Linked DNA regions of Stegostoma tigrinum. The protein of the gene in region 1 purifies or fractionates together with the protein of each later gene. This does not show direct contact. Links are inferred from orthologs where the notes say so. Each region holds a gene or a part of one and is shown in the gene's direction. Other genes may lie near its edges. The genes, in order: centriolar coiled-coil protein of 110 kDa-like and ccnf.

What was found.
Region 2: the proteins of centriolar coiled-coil protein of 110 kDa-like (region 1) and ccnf purify together in Homo sapiens (affinity purification with western blotting; 7 studies listed by BioGRID and IntAct, with this or other methods). This does not show direct contact. The link is inferred for Stegostoma tigrinum from reciprocal best matches to the Homo sapiens genes CCP110 and CCNF.

What each region holds. Positions count from the first base shown.
Region 1 is NC_081376.1:55,080,798-55,088,103, forward strand, and holds the start of centriolar coiled-coil protein of 110 kDa-like, read left to right. Parts: upstream 1-4,109; 5' UTR 4,110-4,174; intron 4,175-7,306. Other genes in the region: gde1 (glycerophosphodiester phosphodiesterase 1), read right to left, coding at 3,683-3,937.
Region 2 is NC_081376.1:31,183,469-31,191,106, forward strand, and holds the start of ccnf (cyclin-F), read left to right. Parts: upstream 1-4,307; 5' UTR 4,308-4,650; coding exon 4,651-4,663; intron 4,664-7,638. UniProt on the Homo sapiens protein: Substrate recognition component of a SCF (SKP1-CUL1-F-box protein) E3 ubiquitin-protein ligase complex which mediates the ubiquitination and subsequent proteasomal degradation of target proteins.

The sequences.
Region 1 (7,306 bases):
GGCTGAGATAGTTAGGATCAACTGAATCAACACAGGCAAAGAGATGTGATTTTCCAGAGCTGCATGGATGTGAACTAACTGAAAACCCACATCACACTCAGTGCCAGTTTTAACAACCGACAGTTGTAGGAATTAAGGTGTTGTAATAACGTACACAAAGCGCTCTCAAGTTTCTACCAAGCAATCCACTGAAGGTGGTGTCTCTCAAGACATTCTTTAAAATTCTATTACACATCAAGTTTTCAGTTACCAAACATTAAAAGATCTGTCTGATCATCTCCTCCTTTGGTTAGGTGCCATTTTCTGTCCCCAAGGCCTTGGGATGTTTTAACTATATTAAAAATACTATATAAATGCAGATTATTACTGCATATAAGGACCTGCTGAAGACAAGGAGATTCAGAAGGTTCCTACCAGAAACTTCACTGATTACAGGAAATTTAACAAGTTAAAAGAACCTGTTAATTTTATTTGTGTACCAATTTTTTTGTTGTGCTGTAAGCCAACTTTTGGGATACTCTTTCCTTGCAGGAAAGAATTGTTGGGTGCTTTTTTACATTGGAACTGATGAGAAATGCAACTCTGCGATGCTGGGTATTGGTTAAACCACAAAACTTTAAAAAAGCTTTCCCGAGTAAGAAAGCAGTAAATGTGGAGAGTCAAAATAATCAAAATGGTTTCAAGCTGAAACATTTTGGAGGCTCAAGATCCTTTAATATTTCTTTAAAACAGATCAATAGAGCTACTAACAAGACTTCTCCTCAGTACTGTAACAATTATTAGCAGCACTGAAAGATACAGAAGAACAAGGAGCAGCAGCTGGACATTCAGGCCTTGAATCTAATTCTGCCATTTATTAAGATCATGGTTGACCCAGTTGTAACTTTATATGCACATTCCTGTCAAATCCTGGTAACCACTTAATATATTGTTTACCAAGATAAGGTGATGAGCCATCAATTTTTTCCTAGAGTTTGGGGAGTCCTAAACAAGAGGGCATAGTTTTAAGGTGAGAGAGCAAAGATGTGCAAAGGATTGAAGAGGTAACCTTTTCATGCAGAGGGTGATGCATGTATAGAATGAGCTGCTAAAGGAAGTGGTAGAGGTGGATACAATTGCTACATTTAAAGCCATCTGGATGGTATATAGATTGGAAGAGTTTAAGAGGGATATGGGCCAAATGCTGGTAAATCAGACTAGGTCAGATTTGGATGTCTGGTCAGCACAGATCGGGTAGACTGAAGGGTCTGTTTCCACACTACGATTTTATAAGAAACTAGCTTCCACTGTTCTAAAAATATTCTTCATCCACTGGCTTTCAATGTTTACGTAAGCAAGGAAAGACTAGCCACCAAGCAACTGAAGTAACTGATGTGTGTCTGACAAGTTGAACACATCTACCAAATTTTTTTTACACTAAATATTACTGCTGTAACTACAGAAGATATTAAAATTCTGAAAATATATGGGTTGAAATTAGAAATAAGTATCACCTTGATGGGATTGTACTACAGCCCCACCTCAACAGTCAGAGAGAAATTCAGAAGCATATGTAGGGAGATCGTATGTAAGCACAATAAGACTGTAATAATGGGGTACAAAAATAGAAATTGCTATTACAGACTCAGCAGGTCTGGCAGCATGTGTGGAGAGAAATCAGAGTTAATGTTTCAGGTTGGGTGACATTCTTAAGGTTCTTGTGAAGATGTGTAGCTTGGGTTGCGGATGAAGTTGATGGCATGCTCACCGAGCTGGCTGGTTATCGTACAGGGGTTAGTATGACATTTATATGATCTGGTCCACCTTAGCTCAAGCCAACCACAGGAATTCCTAGAGGCCTGGTTTTCAACACGTAGTGCAATCAACAAACATGTGGAATTAAATCCCATATACAAATCCAGAACAAATTGGAAATGATACAACCCAACTTATGGACTAGATCATATATATTCCAAGCAGAGTAGAACTACATCACTTCATCAGAGGCTGCGATCATGTTACCTGGCACAGTGACGAAACGTATGTACGATAACCAGCCAGCTTGGTGAGCATACCAACAAACTCATCCACAACCCAAGCTACAAATATTCAAAAGAACCTTAAAGAATATCAATATATTGAAGGAGAAAGCTTTGGGTATCCTAAATTGCATTGAGGTAGACAGCTCTCCAGGAGCAGATGAGATCTATTCTAGGTTAGTGCAAGGGGCAAGGGAAGAAATAGCTGGGCCATTAGCAGATATCTACATATCCTCTTTGACCACAGGCGAGGTTCCAGAGAACTGGAGATTAGGCAATGTCTTTCCCTTGTTTAAGGAAGGCACCAGGGATGATCCCGGAAATTACAGGCCAGTCAGTCTGATGCCTGTGGTGGGGAAGGTCTTGGAGGGTCAAGATATATGCACATTTGGAAGAAAGTGGACTAGTTAAAGACAGCACGGTTTTGTGTGGGAAAGGTCACATCTCACCAGCCTGAATGAATTTGTTTTTGACCAACTGACAAATATAATCGATGAGGGAAGCGTTGTGGATGTAGGTTATTGGGACTTTAAGGCATTTGATAAAGTCCTACATGGCAGATTGGTACAAAAACTAAAATCACATGGGATTTGGGGTGGGTTCTAGGCCCAAAATGTCAGCCTTCCTGCTCCTTTAATACTGCTTGGTCTGCTGTGTTCATCCAGCTCTATACCTTGTTATCTGAGATTTGGGGTGGGCTGGCTAGACGGATACAAAACTGGCTAGGTCACAGAAGACAGAGGATAGCAATGGAAGGGCTTTTTCAGAATGGAAACCGGTAACTAGTAGTGTATTGGTCTTGGGTCCTCTGTTGCTGATATTGCCGACAACTGTGAAAGGATACACAAGGGTATAGATAGAGTGGCGACTTGGGCACAGAAATGACAGATGGAGTTTAATCCAGACAAATGGAAGGTGATGCATTTTGGAGGATCAAATTTAAGTATAAATTATACTGTAAATGGCAAAGCTCTTGGGAACATTAACATACAGACGGATCTGAGTGTACGGGTAACTTTTTTTTGGTAAAGTTAGGTCACACAGATTCAGGATGACCTTGCCAACTGGATACACGAATAATTCAACAGCAGCGGACAGAGTGGTGATAGAGGGTTACTCTTCAGAGAGGAGGCTGGTCACCAGCTGTGTTTCACAAAACTTGGAGCTGGGTTCTCTTCTGTTCATCATTTATGTAAATGATTTGTATGAAAATGTAGAAGACATGACTGGTAAGGTTGTGGATGGCACCAAAACTAACAGCATAGTAGACACTGAAGAAGATTTTCTAAGGTTACAAAGGAATCTTGATCGCATGGGTCAATGGATGGAAAGATGGTAGATGAGTTTAGTTTGGATAGATACGAGGTACTGCATTTTGGTACAAAAAGCACAGGCAGGACATACAATTAATGGCAGGGTGTTGGGTAGAAAAGAGGGACCTGGGAGTTCAGGTACATAATTCTTTGAAGTTTGCATTTTGTGGGGTTGAGAGTTGGTAAGTTTTGGCCAGGGTTGGTGGATGGAGGGAGGGGAGGGGCTGTTTTAGAAGGGACTGTAGAAGTGGAATAGGGTGGAGGGCTTCAAAGGGACGGTTGGGAGTTTGAAGATAGGAAGCCTGGAGGGCGATGAAGAAGAGACAGACAGTAGACCAACGGGACACTCACCTTCCTGATGGCCCCCAGGGTGTTCTCCGGGGCATCATAGCCGCCTCCCCGATGGGCGACTACCGAAAGGCGGCCATTGGGACGGAGCACCTGCTGAGCGACCTCGAGCGGCACGGGCGGGTACCTGAGCGCTTGCACGGCCAGGCACAAGCCGAGCACTAGTACCGGAAAGTAGACCGGGTGGCACACACTCACCACCAGCAGTGCCACCACTGCCAACAGGAGCAGAAATCCGGCCACCACCGTGACATCCATTACCGGACACCCGCCCCCCCGGCCGCTGACGCTCCAGCTCGGGCAACTGGTCCACAATGGCGCTACGGCTCCTCACCATGGACACGTCTCCAGGGACCGCCCTCACCGGCAGGCGTCAGCACGCAGCCTTACGTCAGACGCTGCAACAAAGAGGAGAGGGGCGGGGCTGACAAGAGGAACTGTTGCTGGACTGGGTTGGATAAGGTCAGAAATCACGCAACACCAGGTCACAGTCCAGTAAGTTCATTTAAAAACACGCTTTCTTACACACGCTCCTTCTTCAGGTGTCAGCCTGATGCCGAAAGCTGTCTTCAAACAGATCCGTTGGACCATAATCTTCTGATCTGTGATTTTTGACAGTATGGGAATGGCCTGAATGGGGGGCGGGGCTGATAGCAGAGAGGTGTTGTTTGTGGGGGTGGGACTGTGGCTGATAGCGGAACAGGACCGTGTGAGAAGGCGGGGCTAAAAACAGAACAAGGCGGTACGTGGGGCGGGGCCGTAGATGGGCGGGGCTATTGGCTGGGGTGGGGTTTTGGGAGGGTCGCTGTGAAAAATGGAGTGGCTGTGTGTGGGGTTAGAGATGGGGAGGGTTGAGTAATGTGAGAGTCTGTTGGAGAAAGTGCAAGGGGTCAGCTCTGTTAGGCTCAGAACCATTCGGAAACTTTGCCAAGCTGATGGCAAACATTCTCTCTAATAGCATTTGATAATTTTCATTTATCTATAGATAATTTATTTACAGTAAAACATTTATTAAATGACTTAAAGTAAATTCACAATCTCACCCATCATTGGTGCTTTACAAGGATGATTCATGAATTCCATGGATATACGATCAGCATAGAATCCTTCCAGTGCGGAAACAGACATTTGACCAATTGAGCTCACAACAGCCCTCCGACGAACATTCCACCTCCCCACCCAACTCATGCAACCCTGCATTTCCCTCGGCTAAGGGAAACTGACTAACTGCACCCCCTACGTAATATGGGGCAAGTTAGCCTGTCCAATCCAGCTAATCTGTACATCTTTGGATATGTTGGTTTGTTATCATGCACAGATCAAAGATTGGTCTGTGTGGAATGGGTTTCAATTTGTGGGACCCTGGCACCAGTAACAGGTAGAAGGGAACTGTTCTGAGGGGACAGGCTTGAACTTGAACCTTAAAAACTGAAAGAATTGTGGATTCTGTAAATAAGGAACAAAAACAAAATTGCATGAAAAGCTCAGCAAGTCTGGCAGCATCTGTGAAGGAGAAAACAGAGTTAATGTTTCGGATCTGGTGACCCTTCCTCAGAACTCAGTTTTTGATTTGAACCTTGCTGGGACCGGTTTGCTAGTGAATTAAATCATTTGGGCTTTAAATTAATGGGGTGGGGAGAGGTAGTTTGGGAGAAGGGACATTTAGGCTTACAACAGTGCTTGTCTACAAGTCTCTGAAGACAGTAGAACAGGTTAACAGGAGCAGAAATTAGGCGAACTACCCTATGTCTTATGTTCTAAAGAAGGAACATGGGATAGTTGCCCTTTATCAATTGTGGCTCAGATTATAAGAGCAAAAGATTTTGACGAAGCTATACAAAACTTTGAGTGGAGTACAGTGTGCAATTCTGGTCACAACACTATCGGAAGGATGTGATTGTACTAGAGGGGATGCAGAGGAAATTTACAAGGATGTTATTTGGAATGCAGCATTTTTGCAATGAAGTGAGGCTGGATAGGCTCAGGCTATTTTTTTTAAAGAGTAGAGAAGGCTAAGGGGAGCCTGATAGAGATGTATAAGATTATGAAGGACACGATTAGTATGGACAGAAAGCAGCAGCTCCCCTTAGTTGAAGGCTCAATTATGAATAATTTTAAATTGAACATCTGGAGGTGTAGAAAGCATTTGAGAAAATACTTTTCTTTCATTGAGAGGGTGATAGGAACCCGGAATGTACTGCCTGGGACAGTAGTAGAGGCAGGAAACCTCACAGCCTGAAGATGAGCATGAAATGTTAAAATACGAAAGACTATGGGGCAAGTATTGGAAAGTGGAATTAGTTTGGTACAGACTCAATGGGCCAAAAGGCCTTTTCTGTAGATCATAGAACTGTACAGCTCAGCAATGGGCCCTTCAGCCATGATGTTGTGCCAAAAATGACACCAAATTAAAATTAAATTAAGCACCTTTCTGAAGAAGGGTCCCGATCCAAAACATCAGCTTTCCTGCTCTTTTCATGCTGCCTGACCTGCTGTGTTCTTCCAGCTCCATATTGTGTTATCCAGTAAAAGCTAGCTGTCTTCAAATCCCATTGAAGATGAATTCTCAATCAGTGAATGAAAGACCTTTGGTGCGCAAACAATTTTGTGCAAACAAAAAACGAGAAACAAAGCAGTTCATCAACTGCTCTGATCCAGTATGCTGCTCATGAACCAGGTCTCCCTGATATTTTCCCAACCTGAATATCCATGTCTTAACTGCCTTTGTATGCATTTCTGTTTGTGAAGGGGGTATTTAAAAAGGAATAGAGTTTAAATTGTGGAGTAATAATTTGGCAATTTATTTTTCCTAATTGCTGTTTTTTGGGGTTAGCACGGTGGCACATAGCACTAGAGACCGGATTCAATTCCAGCCTTGGGCAACTGTCTGTGTGGAGTTTGCGTGTCCTCCCTGTGTCTTTGTGGGCTTCCTCTGGGTGCTCTGGTTTCCCCTCATTGTCCACAGATGTGCATGTTAGGTGGATTGCCAATGCCAAATTGCCTTGTAGATGTTGTGGGATATACAGGCTAGGTGAATTAGCCATGGGGAATTAGTAAGAATGGGTAGGATGCCCTTCAAAGGGTTGGTGCTGACTCAATGGGCTGAATGGCCTCTTTCCACACTGTAGGAATTCTCTTCTTCTAAGTACACAAACAGGGTAAATGTTTTCCTTTAAGGCAAATTTTTCAGGCAGGTAAGTTGGGAACTTTGGATAAATCTTTTCACATTTGTGAGAATTCTGGGAATAGTGTGGCTTGCTTTACAAGCACTAACCCATTAAGTCATGGTACTTATTAGAAGCTTGGGTTTTCTTATCTTTAATAAATCTTGCATTGTCACAAAACAATCTAAAAGGGGGGGGGGGTGGTGGAGATGTAGTGTCACTGAGTAGTAATCCAGCACCCCAGGTGAATTTTCTTGGAGCTAAGAACAAAATATGCTGGAGAAATTTAGCAAGTCTCAGGTGAGAGAAGCAGAATTACTGGGGACACGGATTCTTTTCTGTCCTTGACAATTAGTGAAGTTTGAATTCAATTAATAAATCTGGAATAAAAATTTGATCTCATGGTGACCATGAACTACTGTTGATTAAAACGCATCCCATTCACTAATGTCCTGAGGGGAAA
Region 2 (7,638 bases), about 24 Mb from region 1:
TTCCGTCTGATCCTGCCCATAGAACTTATTTCTTCCTGCTTGACATTTTTTTTTCTCCCCTTGTCCAGTTCCTCCCCAGTTTTATTTGTGATTCTTCTAACACTCAGAATTTTCTGTTCACAGACAGCAGTTGCCTCCTGTTCAACATGGACATGCAATCCTTTTGCACATTCATCCCCCATCAAGATGGTTTCAGGGTCTCCAGTTCTTCCTGGAAAGAATGTCTTAACTGACCCCATCCACCCCACCCTTTTCCATCTGACTGAACTCAGGGTCACTTTGAACAACTTCTCCCTCAACTCCTCTCACTTTCTTCTAGTCAAAGGTGTGGCCATGGTTACCTGCAAAGGCCCCAGTTACTCCTGTCTCTTTGTGAGGCACGTGGAGCATTCCTCACTCGGAATGTCTTTCTCTGGTACATCCTGCCTTCGTACTAAACTGGAAAAATTTATCAATTTTGCTTCCAATTTTCCACCTTCTGCCCTGACCTTCATCTGGTTCATCTCTGACTCCTCCCTTCCCTTCCTCAACATTTCTGTTTTCATTCTGAGGATAGGCTAGCCACCAATATCCATGACAGACCCAATGACTCCCACAGTTATCTCAACAATATATCATCACACCCCGCTTCCTGTAAAGATTCTGTCCCATTCTCCTCATTTCTCTGTCTCCATCACGCATATTCTTAAATATGGGTGGTGGGTCCTCAGAAATATTCATCAGTCAACAGGGCCCTTGACCATGTGTGACCCATCTCCAACATTTCTGCCTTCACCTCATCCCTTTCCTCCCACAATGATAGAGTCCCCCTGTCCTCATTTATCATCCCATCAGCCTCCATATCCAAAGGATTGTGAGCCGCCATTCCCATCACCTCCAATGGAATGCCATGATCAGGCACATATTCCTCTTGTCAGCATTCCACATGGACCATACCCTCCGGGACATTCTGGTCCACTCCTCCTGCATTCCCAACACCTCCTCACACCCCAAGGAACTTCCCATGCAATCTCAGAGGGTGTAACTCCTGCCCATTCACCTCCACCTTCCTCATGACCTAAGGCCCAGATGTACCTTCAAGGTGAAGCAGCAATTTACCTGTATTTCATTTGATCAAGTCTACTGTATTCACTGTTCACAGTGTGGTGTCCTTTATATTGCAGAACATGTACATTCCTTCCACAAAAATAACTTCAAGCTTCCAGCTGCCTGCCATGTCGACACATGACTGGGTTCCCACACCAACATTTGTATTGCAGGCCTGCTGCAGTGTTCCATTGATCAAGCTTGAAGAACAATATCTCATTTTCTGCTTGGAGACCTTGCAACCTCTGGACTCAATATCAAGATTCAATAACTTTAGAGCCTGATTCCACTTTCGATGTTTTTTTCACTTACACCATTCTGGTCCTATGGTGATGTGGGTTGATTTTAAGCAGGCACCCATTCCGAAGCATATTATCATATTACATGGGTTGGTGTCAGTTCGGATCACCGTTTCTCTCCTACTCTTGTGTTCATTATCACTTATTCAGCCTTTGTTCAGTCCTAGCCTGCTCATTATCCTGATCCATTGTCTCCTTGTTTACTTATCTCTTTCATATATTTTTCTCAGTGGGCTTCATCTTCACCTCCCTCCTTTCTCCACCTCCCCAACTTTGTCCAGCATAAATACCACTTTTTCTATGCTCCTAACTGCTCAGATGAAGAGTCACTGGACTGGAAACAGCATCTATGCTTTCCTCCCACAGATGCTGCCACACCTGTTCAATTTTGCCTGCAATTCCTGTCTTGGTTTCAGACTTCCAACATCTGCAGTTCTTTGTTTTATTTAAGATGGTTGTGATTGTTGGATGTCAATCATCTCAGCTCCAGGATATCTTTGCAAGAGTTCCTTGGGTCATGTCCTAGGCACAAGCATCTCCAGCCGCTGCATGAATGACATTTCCTTGATGATATGGTCAAAAGTGAGGGTGTTTGCAAAAGACTGCAGAATGTTTAACGCTGTTCAATACTCCTCAGAAACTAAAGTGTTTCAAGTCCAAATACAGTAATTCCCTGACAATATCCAGGCTTGAGCTGAAAAATGATAAGTAACATTTACGCTACACAAATGTCAGGCAATGACAAGCCCAAATAAAAGACAATCTAACCATCACCTACATTAATTCCCCCCATATTAACATTCTGGGGGGGGGGGGTCACCATTGAACAGAAACTGGATTGGTCTATCCATATAAATACAGTAACAAGAGCAAGTCAAAGGCAAGGAATCTTGCAGTGATTAACTCACCTCTTAGTCTGTCCAGTATTTGCAATGCAGAAGTCAGGAGTGTAATGGGATATTTTCCACTTGAGGATGGGAGATAGCGACATTTATCACTGTCTAATTCAAATCCCATCATTCAGTTGCTGGAATTATAAAAGGTTTCATGTACTTCACTGCCAGGCACTTTGGCAGCTTTCTTTGGGTATGCAAAAAATGTTCTGGCGATGCCCTCAGCCCATGAATAAATAAAGAAAAAATGTGCCAGTTCAAACAAAATACAAAGCATTGTGTGGTGTTTCATTTACAGTAAGCAGGTGGGAAGGTGAAAGTATGTTGGACTTTATTGCAGCAGTATGAGAATCCAGGAACAAGCACATTTTACTTTAGCTCTACATACAAAGCTTTGGTGAAATCATGTTATTGTGTGAAACTTTGGTCCCTAATTTTAGATATATTTGCCATAGGGTGAGTGCAGTGAATATTCACCAGGATTATTCCTACAATGCCAGCATTATTGAGGACAGATTGGGTCAACTAGACCTGTGTTCACTAGATAATAAATGAGATGATATCAATTAAATAAATGAGAGGGTATCTCATTGAAATATGCAATGTTCTGAAATGGCTAAACAGACTGGATGCAGGGATTATTTACCCATCTGCAGGGTCTTGAATGGTCAAGGTCTCTGGGGTAGGCTATTTAGGTCTGAGATGAGGTGAAATTTCCTTACTAAAAAGTTGGTGGACTAGTGAAATTTTCTACCACGTGTGGCAGTGGATGCCAAGTTGATGAATTAAAGAAAGAAGCTGATAGATTTTTAGACCCTGAAGGCATCAAAAATTATGGTAAGACATTGGATGAATGGTGTTGAAGGATGTCATATTGCACTAAACGGCACAGCAGGTTTGATAGGCTGAATACTTGTGCTCCTATTTTCTATTTTTTTTGCTCGCCTGAAGAAGTCCAGGTCTAACAAACTCAGGAAACTCAAAACCATCCAGGGCAAAGCAGGCCTTGTGATCAACACTCAAACCATCACCTTAAACATTCACTTCTTCCATCGCTAGCATCAAGTAGTTGCAATGTCTGCCAATATACAAGGTGGACTTCAACAATTTGTTGAAGATCCATCAACGGCACTTTTCAACAACCTTTAACAACCAGGAGAACAAGGACATCAGACACTACGAACACTACAACTTGTATCTTCTCCTCCAAGTCTCACATCATCCTGACTTGATACCAACTGTATCAGAGATAATAGGAATTGCAGATGCTGGAGAATCCGAGATAACAAAGTGTAGAGCTGGATGAACACAGCAGGCCAAGCAGCATCTTAGGAGCACAAAAGCTGACGTTTCGGGCCTCGACCCTTCATCAGAAATCATTCAGATGAAGGGTCTAGGCCGGAACATTAGCTTTTGTGCTCCTAAGATGCTGCTTGGCCTGTTGTGTTCATCCAGCTCTACATTTTGATACCAACTGTTCCTTTAATACTGGGTCTCACTCCCAAACAGCACAGTTGATGTACCCACAACGCGTTGGCTGTAGTGATTCAATAAGGCAGCTCACCAACCACCCAGGCATGGTCAAGACATTTAGGAACTGTCAAAAAATGATGGCACATTTCAAAAGCGAATAAAAATGTCAACATCTGAAGCCCATCTCTTAGTTAGAAACAGGCATTAATTGAAAATGTGACATTTTGTTCAATTAAAGACTACCAACACCAAACACCATCACTCAAGCCAAACTCTGTTCCAAACACCGCGCTATTGCGCTTCTTCTTCCTGCCCATCTGAGGCGCTGCTTTTGCAGTCCGAGTGAAAAGTGCATTCTTTGGAACCAATTAGAACGGCCGGCGACGCAGCAAAGATGCTGAACAGACCAATTGCGATGTGAAATTGGGAGGCGAGGCTGTTGATTGATTTGTGGATCCACCAATGGACGGGCGTAGGCTGCTGGTATCCAATCAGCGGGGGCTATTTTGAAATAGTTCTCGTGAGATTGGTTTGAAACGGTCGGGCGCGTGGCAAGGGTTTTAGCTGTACTGTGGCGAAAGGTAGAGCTGTAGAAGAAGATCCAGATTCCTCACACTCCAGCAGAGGAATAGCTTGACCCAATTCTTGAAGGACGTTCAAATTCTAATCGTCCTCATAGTCCGGTACACAGATATTCCGCTGTCCCCTTCTCCACGCAGTTCCGTAGACACATTTCTGTTTTCGCACCGCAACGGAGTTCGGTACAGAGACACCCGACTCATCCGATATCCTCGCTGAGTGGTACTAAAACCTCTTGCAGTCTACTATTCGGAACCAGCGGCTGATCGAAAGGATTTTCCGTTTGAAAAGTGGGGGAACAGGACGCAAATTGGCTGAAAATGCGACCAGGTGGTGAGTTTCATCATCAGTTGAAATTTAGCCATAACCGCGTGTGTATTGGACGGTCTATGACCAAGAACGGGGTTGGTACCGAGTAGGGGGACTTTGGCCTCCGTATTTTGAGGAGGTGCAAAGGATGTTCTGCCCCCGGTATGTTGTGGCAATAGCTGCTGTACCCCCATGAGAGTCGAATGCCCTGCTTCCACACTGTAGGATTCTATTTTGAGGAAGTGGAAGAAAGGGCCTGTCTGAGCCCGGAGGATGGTGGGAGAGAGAAGGGAGGAAACACTTTGAGTAGTGGGTGGAGAAGGATTGGCAGAGACGTTCTTGAGCCCTTTTATTCGTTGGGGGAGGGGGAGATAGGCCATTTAGTGCTGAGCTAGGGAATATTTTTCACTCGACTGTTGTGTTTAGAGTTCTCTACTTGAGATGGCTAAGAGGCCCAGACATTGTATTCAATACTGCGATTGATATCTAATATAGATATTAAAGATGTCAAGGGATAGTAGGACCGGTGTGGGCAGGTGACTTTGGGGTATAAAATCAGTCACGATCTAGTAAAACATGGCCTAATCATAGTTCCTATGACTACAACGTCTGTTAGGGAAGGTTCTCTGCCATCTAAATCAGGGTGCCTGAAGAGCAAGGGTGAGTTTACTTTGAGTTGACTGGAGTTGAGGGTAGATTCAGCATATTGTGTTTTGGTTGGATTTGGGCAATTCTTGTGGTTCTTTTGTGGATTGTAATGTTGAGTGAGCTTCTAAGAAAGCACGTAGTTCTAGATGGATTGGGAGTTTCCCAGATTTGCTTGTTGCCAAAAATCACCCACTCTGATCAAATGGGCAGTAGTCACCTGTCTGAGTTATGCAGTCAGAGATAATGGGAACTGCAGATGCTGGAGATTCCAAGATAATAAAATGTGAGGCTGGATGAACACAGCAGGCCAAGCAGCATCTCAGGAGCACAAAAGCTGACGTTTCGGGCCCAGACCCTTCATCAGAGAGGGGGATGGGGGGAGGGAACTGGAATAAATAGGGAGAGAGGGGGAGGCGGACCGAAGATGGAGAGTAAAGAAGATAGGTGGAGAAGGTGTGGGTGGGGAGGTAGGGAGGGGATAGGTCAGTCCAGGGAAGACGGACAGGTCAAGGAGGTGGGATGAGGTTAGTAGGTAGCTTGGGGTGGGAGGAAGGGATGGGTGAGAGGAAGAACCGGTTAGGGAGGCAGAGACAGGTTGGACTGGTTTTGGGATGCAGTGGGTGGGGGGGAAGAGCTGGGCTGGTTGTGTGGTGCAGTGGGGGGAGGGGATGAACTGGGCTGGTTTAGGGATGCAGTGGGGGAAGGGGAGATTTTGAAACTGGTGAAGTCCACATTGTGTCGTTTGTTTTATCTTGGGTTGGGAAGCATGAGGTGTTTCAGCATCCCAGGGAAACAGCTGCAAATCGTCTGGCTTGTATTATCCTGTATTTGAAAAAACAATTGAATTGCAGATCTTTACTATCCAAGTTAAGAGATAACAAGATGTAGAGCTGGATGAGCACAACAGGCAGAGGAGCAGGAAAGCTGACGTTTCTGGTCTAGACCCCTCTTCAGAAATGGGGAAGGGGATTCTGAAATTAAATAGGGAGAGAGGGAGATGTGGATAGAAGATGGATAAAGGAGATGATGGTGGAGAGGAGACAGACAGGTCAAAGAGGCGGCGTGGGGAGTTAGGAAGGGGATACGTCAGTCCAGGGAGGACGGACAGGTCAAGGATGTGGGGATGAGGCTGGTAGGTAGGAGATGAGGATGGGGCTTGAGGTAGGAGGAGTAGATAGGTGGGAGGAAGGACAGATTAGGGAGGTGGGGATGAGCTGGGCTGGTTTTCGGGATATGATCAGGTGACGGGAGATTTCGAATGCAACTCTCTACTATCCAAGTGTTCTATCTGAGTAGGTTTGATATATACTGGTAGGAAACGGATTTCTTTAGTACAGAGTAGTGAGTTTTGGTATAACGTTTTCTGTGTGTTCGCATCAGGCCTGCATCATGCAAAAGAACAAAACTCCTCTAGTCTATCATTTTTTGTATTGATTCTTGAATGAATTGAGTGCTTTTTTAATCTGGCAAATATGGAATTGGTGTCTTCCCGCGAAGCTCAGTACAAGGCTGAGTACCTGGAAATAGGCAAAGAACCTTGCCTAAGTGTGACACTAAATGTTTCTTGCATCACTCTGATTTTACCCAAGCCAGGGGAGGATGGGTTCATCACTTGAAGGACTATTAGGGATGGGGAAAAATGCTCTCACGCCATGAATAATTCAAGATTATCAGATGTGAGGTGGGTAGATTTATTGCATGCATGGGGTTTGTGTTCATTCCTCCATACCTGTATTTGATGTATGCTGTCTTGGTTACGTACATCCTTTAGTAAACTAGAAAATGGAATAGGTATATACTATGGATATGGATGCAAATATACCGTGTTGCCATTTTTGAATGTTGAGAGGGGGATGGGGAGCACCCTTTCCATTCTTTATTTTTTCATCGAGACAATACTAGTGAGGTTGTGACAAAGTTTGAAGCACAGCCGTCTCACTTGGATGCTTTTAAACGTGACTACATCTGGTATGGAGTCTGGCACTTGACCTCATGTCTTGCGCTTCACAGGATGTGTTCATTGCTGGTTGTAGGGTCCTTGCATTATTTGTGTATTAATAAGATCTACCAACAGAACAAAGAGTCATAAACCATGATGTTAGTTCCCCTTAGTCACAGTCATGGAAACAGATCCTTTAGTCCCACTCATCCATGCTGACCAAGACTTCCATACTCACTCAACCAGTCCTGTTTGCTTGCGTTTGGCCCATATCCCCCTCAAACTTTCCTATTCACAAATGCCTTTTAAATGTTTGATTAGATTAGATTCCCTACAGGATCTTTTGGCCAACAAGTCCACACCACCCCTTGGAGCATCCCACCCAGACCCATTTCCTGCCCCCCCCCCAAAA